2 linked regions of the Sus scrofa genome follow. The protein of the gene in region 2 purifies or fractionates together with the protein of the main gene of each other region. This does not show direct contact. Links are inferred from orthologs where the notes say so. Each region holds a gene or a part of one and is shown on either strand. Other genes may lie near its edges. The genes, in order: DLG4 and KCNJ4.

Evidence for each region.
Region 1: the proteins of KCNJ4 (region 2) and DLG4 purify together in Homo sapiens (affinity purification with western blotting, with the first as the bait; 3 studies listed by BioGRID). This does not show direct contact. The link is inferred for Sus scrofa from reciprocal best matches to the Homo sapiens genes KCNJ4 and DLG4.

What each region holds. Positions count from the first base shown.
Region 1 is NC_010454.4:52,549,759-52,553,553, forward strand, and holds the end of DLG4 (disks large homolog 4), read right to left. Parts: intron 3,625-3,795; coding exon 3,452-3,624; intron 2,527-3,451; coding exon 2,417-2,526; intron 1,607-2,416; coding exon 1,515-1,606; intron 1,318-1,514; coding exon 1,211-1,317; 3' UTR 380-1,210; downstream 1-379. UniProt on the Homo sapiens protein: Postsynaptic scaffolding protein that plays a critical role in synaptogenesis and synaptic plasticity by providing a platform for the postsynaptic clustering of crucial synaptic proteins.
Region 2 is NC_010447.5:9,524,886-9,529,232, reverse strand, and holds the start of KCNJ4 (inward rectifier potassium channel 4), read right to left. Parts: upstream 2,835-4,347; 5' UTR 1,966-2,834; intron 1-1,965. UniProt on the Homo sapiens protein: Inward rectifier potassium channels are characterized by a greater tendency to allow potassium to flow into the cell rather than out of it.

The sequences.
Region 1 (3,795 bases), on a different chromosome or scaffold from region 2:
GTCTGCCCACAACTCCTTGAACACGGATGAACGCTGTATCATCTCTACTCTCCTTCGGAGACCACTGTGCTGCCTGACAAGACTGAGGCTGCCCAGGGGAGTGGTCAGGGCCGGGCTACCTTGGCAGGGCCTCTTTCTGGGTCTGTCAGTGACCTAGGACCAAGCTCCAGCCCCTCACCCCCAAGCCCATTCTTCCTCATGACACGGGAGCTCTGCTGTGGAGGTTCCCTTCAAGGCCCCCCCTTTCGGGCCACCCTCTCCTGTCTGGGGGTGAGGGGCCGGTGGGTAAAGAAGGATCTGACTTCATCGGACCCAGCGCCATGCTGCCACCCTGCCTCCCTCCTCACCCGGGCCCCAAATAACCAGGCCACACACCAGGTTTCAAGTATCTGTCTCTTCCTTTCACTCTCTCGAAAGAAAAAATAAATAAATTGCAGAAGGCGGCAGCATTTCCAGTCGTCCCCTGGCTCCCGGACACCCGACCCCCAACCCTGCCCCCCTCCCCCCCACATTCCCACTCCCTAGACCCATCCCTCCCCGTTCCCCAAAAAAATCCCAGAAAAAAAAAAAAAAAGCCACAGTTAGACCTTCCACTCATGCAAACCGGCAAAGAAAAAAGGTGGGGGGCGTGTGGAAGGCAGGGGGCCCGCAGTGGGGTCCCCCCACGTATCCCCCCAAAAACCACCTTTGAGAGGAAAAAAAATGGAAAAAAAATAAATGAGAACTCAAGGGACGTGGGGAGTTATGATGGGGGCAGGGGTGACCCCAGACCCTGCCTCGGGAGAGCACGGAGCCCTGCAGCCCTGCAGCCCTGCAGCCCTACAGCCCTGCAGCCCTGCAGCGGGCGCTCCTGGAGGGGCCCTGACTTCTGGAATGTGTGTGGGAGGGGAGGGCAGGCGCCCCCGGGGGGTCTGTGTGTGCGCGCTGGGGGCGGGCAGGGCTCAGGGGTCCTGAGGAGCTCGGGCTCGGGACCAGGCGCCCGGCTCCCCCACCCCAGACCCCAGGTTCCTGGGGGCTCAGGAGCCCAGTTCTGGGGAGCGGGGATACATGCAGAGGAGCGTCCCCCCTCCAACGGGCTGGATCCGGTTAGAAAGGAAATAAATAAGAAGGGGTGGGAGGGAGGCTGGGTGCGAAGGGCTCGGGCAGTTCAGTCCAGACCAAGGGCCCCGGCAATGGAGGCAGGGCAAGTCCAGCCAAGCCAGGGAAGGAATCAGAGTCTCTCTCGGGCTGGGACCCAGATGTAGGGGCCTGAGAGGTCCTCGATGACACGCTTCACCTTGTGGTAGATCTCCTCAAAGCTGTCGCCCTCCACGATGGCTGCGGCGGAGGGAGCGGGGCGTCAGGCCCAGGGAAGGGAGGGGCACCTCGGCCTCACTTTCCCATCCAGGAGCCGCGGGGCTGCACCAGCCCAAAGGCGGCAGCTCTTTCTACATCACCCACCCAGAGGGGCCTCTTTTTTGACGCTGCGGCCGAAGACACCTGGCGCCCTGGCGGCGGGCTCGCCGCAGCCTCACCTGAGAAGCACTCTGTGAATTCCTGCTCCAGTTTGGAGGCTCTGTCGAAGGCTTTGCGGGCTTGCTCCTCTGTGATCCGCTTATTGATCTCTCTGCGGAGCAAGAGCCACACAGACCTCAGGGTGGTCCCTCAGCCCTCCGTCTCCTCCATCCAGGGATGTTAAGTCGCAGCCCTATTTTCTTTTCTTTTCCTTTCCGTTTTTTTTTTTTTTTTTTTTTTTTTTTTTGCTTTTTAGGGCCGCACTGGAGATACATGGAAGTTTCCAGGCTAGGGTCGAATTGGAGCTGTAGCTGCCAGCCTACACCACAGCCACAGCAACTCGGGATCTGAGCCGCATCACTGACCTACACCACAGCTCACGGCAACACCTCAAGCAAGGCCAGGGATCAAACCCGCATCCTCATGGATACTAATCGGATTCGTTTCCCCTGCACCACAACGGGAACTCTGCAACCCGTATTTTCCTAGTTGGAGCTTGATGCCAAGAGCACAACTTCCAAGATCCTCTGGGGCCACAGATAGGCCCCCTCCCCGTGACCCACCCCAGCCAGGTGTGGCCACTTCAGGGACCTCTCCAGCACCTCCTCCTTCCAGCCCGCACCCCAGTGAAGGGATTCAGCCTCTAACTCCCGAAAGCCCAGAGGCCCTGGCTCGCCCCAGCAGGTGTGTGCCCCAGGGGTTGCTGGGAGTTGTAGTCCTGCCTAGACCAGGGCAGGGAGGCAGAAAGAGGCCTGGGAGTCCCTGCATCCTCTGGGTGCCAACTCCAGGTGCAGACCCCCCTCAAGGGCTGCTGGAGCCACTGTCCAGGGTTCTGAGGGAAGAGTTCAACGCAGAGGCCTTCTGAGGCCCAGGGCCACAGGTGCGGGGAGCAGAGGGGAGGCCCCCCCGGGACCATACTCACAGAACATTCTCCAGGGAGCGGGGGCGGATGAAGATGGCGATAGGATGCAGGTGGGCCGCCTGCAGCCGCCGCACGGCATTGGCCGAGACGTCGAGGATGCAGTGCTTCCCCTGGGGGGCGGGCAGGGCGGGCGGAGGGGGGCCAGCAGGTGGTGGGAAAGGACAGACAGAGGTGCCAGGACAGGACACAGTATGCCAGAAGGTGGGGAACGGCAGATTCACCAAAAGGGAAATGACATGGATGTCGAAAGACACGTGGGCAGAGAAAGTTGAGGCAAGAAAGGTACAGACAGACAGAGTGAGGGACAGAAAAGGAGGCCGGCAGACAGAGAGCAAGGGAGGGGCCAGCACAGGAGGGAGGGATTGGGGGAATGGGCAGAGGGGTGAGGAACAGGCAGGGAGGGGACCCAAAAGATGGGGCAGAGCAAGGCAAGAGCGGGGTGGCGTCGACAGGTTGGGGAGAAAGCCCAGAAGGAGAAGGGAAGTGGGGTGGAGGGAGGAGGGCCGGGAGGACGGACAGAGGACAGACAGATGGAAGGAACAAGGAGAAGCAGATGGAGGGAGGAGAGGCAGATGGAGAAAGAAGCCGTGGAGGGAGAGAGGGCAGGGTGGGGGCATGGGGAAGAAGGAGGTGGCAGAGGAGTGGGAGACGGGAGCCGGGACCCCAGGGACGGGCAGGGGGAGGGGAGAGGACCCGAGGGGAGCCGGCAGAAGGGAGGGCCCAGAGGGGGGAGGCCGGGCCATCAAGGCCGAGGCCACAGGAGGAGAGGCAAAAATGGGGCAAGGAGGAGGGGAGGGGAGGGGACAGATGGCAGCACGGAGTTTGGGGTCAGGAACCGAGGGAGGGAGGCGGGGGCGGGGCCCGGGAAAGCAGGCAGGCGACAGAGTTGCCCAGGAGGAGGAGGAGGTGGAGGAGCGGAGCGGAGACCCAGCAGGGAAAGAGACAGACAGAGAGAGAGAGAGAGTTAGAGACAGCTGGAGGAAGGCCACAGGGCAGGGAGAGGGAGGAGGAAGAGGACGGGCCGCCGGCTCCTACCTGCTCTGCCACCTCTCGCACGGACTGGACGCTGGTTCCATACAGGTGGCTGTTGTACTGGCCGGCCTCGATGAACTTGTGTGCCTGGATGTCCTTCTCCATTTTCTCCCGGGACGACACAAAGTGGTAATCCCGGCCATCTATCTCATACTCCCGCTTGGGCCGTGTCGTATCTGCCGGGAAGTCACCCCAGCCCCCAAAGAGCTAACCGCCATCCGTCTAGCTTCAGCCCTGCCTTCGGCGCAGCCCCAGATGCCGGCCGAGGGGGGCAGAGCTGCCTCCCCCCCACACCACCACCGCCGAGTCCTCCAAATCCCTGCCCTGGGATGGTCAGCCCAGGACGT
Region 2 (4,347 bases):
CCCGCCCTGTAAGCCTACACTGTTCCTCCTCCCCTTCCCTCTTCCATCCTAAGCTAAGAAATCCTTTCACCGTATCTCCTAGGGCTCCTTCATTCTCTGCTCTGCAAATGTCAGGTAAGAACCTACTATGCTCCAGACTTGTGTCAGCTGCTTCCAGAGACCTGACCTAGTCTGCGAATCACTCAGCAACCCAAAGAAGTCAGTGCCGTCATCCCCACTTCCCAGGTGAAGAAACCGAGGCCCAGAGAGGTCCGGCCAGCTGCCCAAGGTCACCCAGGAGAAATTCAAGGCCAGCCCTGTCTAGTCCCAGTCACTCCAATACTTGCAGGAGAGAGGAGCTTCCCTTTCCAGGGTACACCCAAAGGTTCCTGAGGAAGAGGTCCCCAGCCCCAGGTCCCCCTCCTCGGATGCCGGACACTGCCCTTCTTGGTCAGTCCTCTAGTTCAGGCCACGTTCCCCCTCCCCGTTAGCTATGCCTCTTCCCAGAGGTAAAATGAGTCTTTACTTCCATTTGCTCTGCACTTTCCCAGCCTGTAGACAGCCCTCGGCTCCCTCGAGCCCAGCCCCCCCTCCCTTGGAGGTCAGTGGGACAGGGGACTGACTGCTGTCCTCATTCCACAGATGTGGAAGTTGAGGGCCAGGGAGGAGAGCGGCTTGCCCGTGGTGCTGGCCCCTCTGCCAGCTGAGCAGACTTCTAGGAGCCCAAATGGGGGCTACCCAAGGCCCACTGCCCAGTGGGGAAAACCCCAGGAAGAGCCCATCCCCCAGGAGAGAACCAAGTAGAATGTTCTAGGTTCAGCCCTCCAGACTCCGATTTGGCTATAGGTCAGCTCAACAGCCAACCGCCTTTGCTCCTGCCACACCGCACGGCAGCCCTGAGCCCAGTGCCCCCTTCCACATGTTGTCCCCTCATCCCAGGCCACGCCAGGACCACAGTTTGGCTCTCAGGCCCCCAAAGTCCTGCCAACAGCTCTCAAAAGTCCCAAAGCCATGGAGGTCACAAGACTGGATGTGGGGGAGAAACAGAATAGACATTCTACACACACACACACACACACACGCACACGCACACGCACACACACACAGGTCTGGCTCCTCTCTGGACCTTGCATGTGTGGCCCTTAGGCCTCCCTCCCTCAGCTCTCTGTTCCCTCAACCTGCTTCTTGGCATCCTCCTGCTCCGGAGGCCCCCGCCTGCTAACTATGCCAGGCAGCCCTCCACCTGTCTCTCGCCCACCCCCACCACCCCCCTGCACCCTCTCCCCATCTTAGAGCCTGGGCTCTGGAAACACAAGTGCCATGTAGATGCTGGTCAGGGGACACTGGGCACGGTTGCAGGGAAGTTTCCCTACTCCATCCAGACCTCTCTTTCCTGGTGCTCTCCGTCTAGGGAGGGAAGGCACTCTGGCCTCCCTCTGTGGCCTGTCGCCACCGCTGGGAAGCCTGAACTGCTTCATCCATCCCTGTCCACCCTCTCTAGGGTCTCAGGGCCCAAAGCAGGTGCTCAAAACGAGAGAAGAGGGATTTTGTTCTGTCAGGGCCATTTTGCAAACAGGCTGCAGTTGGGGAGGTGGATAGGAGACCCCCCCCCCCCTTTGCCACAAGTCATCTGCTTTGAAACTCCTCCAACCCAGTGTGACAACTGGGGGTGGGTGGAGGCAGGGAAAGGTCACGGCCGGGGCAAGAGGTCCAGGCCCTTTGCACTCACCTCTACCCCCCCTCCTGGCAGAAACCCAGACCTTGACGCTCCTGAGACGACGACGGACAGAGGACAGAGCTCCTCGGCTCCGGGGAAGTCGCCTGATCGCGCTGAACGCGCGCCCGGCGGCCGAAGCCCGGGTCAGGGGATAAGGTGCCGAGCGGGCGGGGCCCGAGCCGCCAGGCCCCGGGACACACACACATACACACGCACGCGGCGGGACAGACGGACGGACAGCGCCAGCGGCGAGCGCCGGCCGGGCTTACCGCGGGGCGCAGGGTCCGACGAGTCTCCGGGAGGCGGCGAGAGGCCGCTACATCCCACGGCGCAGTCGGGCGGGCAGCGTCCCGGGCCGGGAGCGGGGAGTCCCGGCGCCCCTTCCCCGCGAACTCGGCGGCCGGCCCCGCCCCCCTCCCCCGCTGCCTGTGGGTCTGTCCGTCGGTCCCCCGGTGTCCCGGCCTCCGGGCCGTCCCGCGCCGCTCCCCGCCGGCCGCCCAACTTTCAGCGCTGCCCCGCGCCGCGCCCTCGGCGCCGCCTCAGCTTCAGCATCGTCGGGCCCCGGGCCGGGGCTCAGAGCGCGGGGGTCCGGGGACCCATGGCGCTGGAGCCCCCCGCCCCCGCCGCCTTCTCTCCGCCGCCCCCACGGTTCTCTCGCTGTCCCTCGGCGCTGTCCCCCGCCCTGCGCTCCGCTCCCTGGCCCGCTGCGCTCGCCTCCGGCCCCGAGACCCCCGAAGCCGGCCGGCCCGGGCTCTGCCGCCCCCGCCCCCGCCGGCCCCCTCGGCTCTCGGTCTCTCGCAGTCTCTCCTGCCCGCCTGGGTCTCTCCGACTCTCCCCGCGGGCCCCTGTCTTCGTCTCCGTCGCCCTCCCGGTCTGTCCGCTGCCTTCCTCTGCCTCTGCCCTCTCTCCCCTGAGCGTCTCTGTCTCGCTCCGGGTCCCTGCCTCTGCCTCTCTCTCTCTCTGCCTCCCACTCTCGGTGCGGCCCCCGCGGTCTCGGACCCAGGCCCCCGCCTCTGCCGCGTCCCCGGCTCGCCCGGGAGCCCGAGCTCCCGCCGCCCGCGGCGCGCCGAGAACTCCCAACTCGCGGCACGCCGCCCCGCTTTGCGAGACTTTCGCCCCTCCTCACACGTGACCCGCGCCCCGCTGCGGAGGCCGCGCCCCCCCACCCCAGCCCCGGAGCCCCGGGCGGCCCGGGGGACCCGGCCCCGGCCCGTCCCCTCAGCCTAGCCCGGCATCACACCCCCTCCCACCCGCGGGCAGCGCCGGGCCGGGCAGGGGCTGGGGGCCGCGGGGGCCGCTCCTGTCCCAGATCCTGCCCGGGTTTTCCTCCTCCCTCCAGGAGCACTCCGCCCAGAACCCGCTCCGAGAATCCGCTCCCAGGTTTTCTCGCCCCCCAGGGGCAGGTGGAGAGGGTTCCTCCGCGCCGGGAAGGGAGTGGGTGGGATAGGGTCGGTACCCGGTTCCTCGGCTGCGGGCCACTCCCCTCGGCGGTTCCCTTCCCCTCCTGCAGGACTGGCCATTAAGGACCCTACGCACCCCGCCCCCGGGAGCCGGAGGTGTAACCCTCCTGGAGGGACCCTCACCATCCGCTGGGCAGCACCGCCCCGTTTGACAGACTGGGAAACTGGGTATCAGAAAGGGTCATAAGTTTGCCCAAGGTCACCCAGAGGTGGCAGAGCCGGGCCAAACCACAGTTTTTCCTTCTCTGCGTCCCCATCACCCCAAAATGTCTTTATAGGGAGGATCTCGCCCGTTTCCTTCTCATCTTGGGGGCGCACCGGTCTGGACCCCACACCAGTCTGGACTGTGGGGAGAAAGCCCCAGCTCCTCACAGCCCCTGGCGAGCCAGCCACTCCCGTGGCCATTCCTGCCACCTCACTCTGAGGATGCAGGAGGTTAGAGGATGTAGGGTGCGAGGATGAACGAATACCTGCAGTTAGATAGCCAGAAGGACTTCCCTGGGAGCCTGGCCATCTCTGACTGGCCCCAGTTAAGTGAGGGAGATTGGGGCACTCCAAGCCGGACCGAGAATTTACTGAACATAAAATCTCCAGCTCATCCTTCAAGCTGACCCTCTGAAGTTGCCGCAGGCACAGGAACCACCACACTTGAACCATCATGACTGTTCCCAATCCCCACAGTCCCTCCCCTCCTAAAAGGATTGCGTCCCAACTCCTCAGTGTGATGTACAGTCAGGTCCCACCTTATCTCACACCCCATATACCCACACATACACCACGATGCCTACAGATTCCCGAACACACCAGATGCTTCCACACCTCTCTGCCTTTGCACATGCTATTCTTCCTGCCTTAAATGCCCTTCCTGCTTCTCTGCTCTAAGAATTCCTGCTGTTTCCCAAGTCCAGCCTCCACGCCACCTCCCCTAGGAAGGCCTCCTGCTGCCCTTAGCAGAAGTCATCCATCACCTCCTCATTCATTCATCCAGCACCGGCCACAAGTTTAGTTCTTTTTTTTTTTTTTTTTTTTTTTTTTTGTCTTTTTGCTATTTCTTTGGGCCGCTCCCACGGCATATGGGGGTTCCCAGGCTAGGGGTCTAATCGGAGCTGTAGCCACAGCAACAGCCAGAGCCACAGCAACGCAGGATCCGAGCTGCATCTGCAACCTACACCACAGCTCACGGCAACGCCG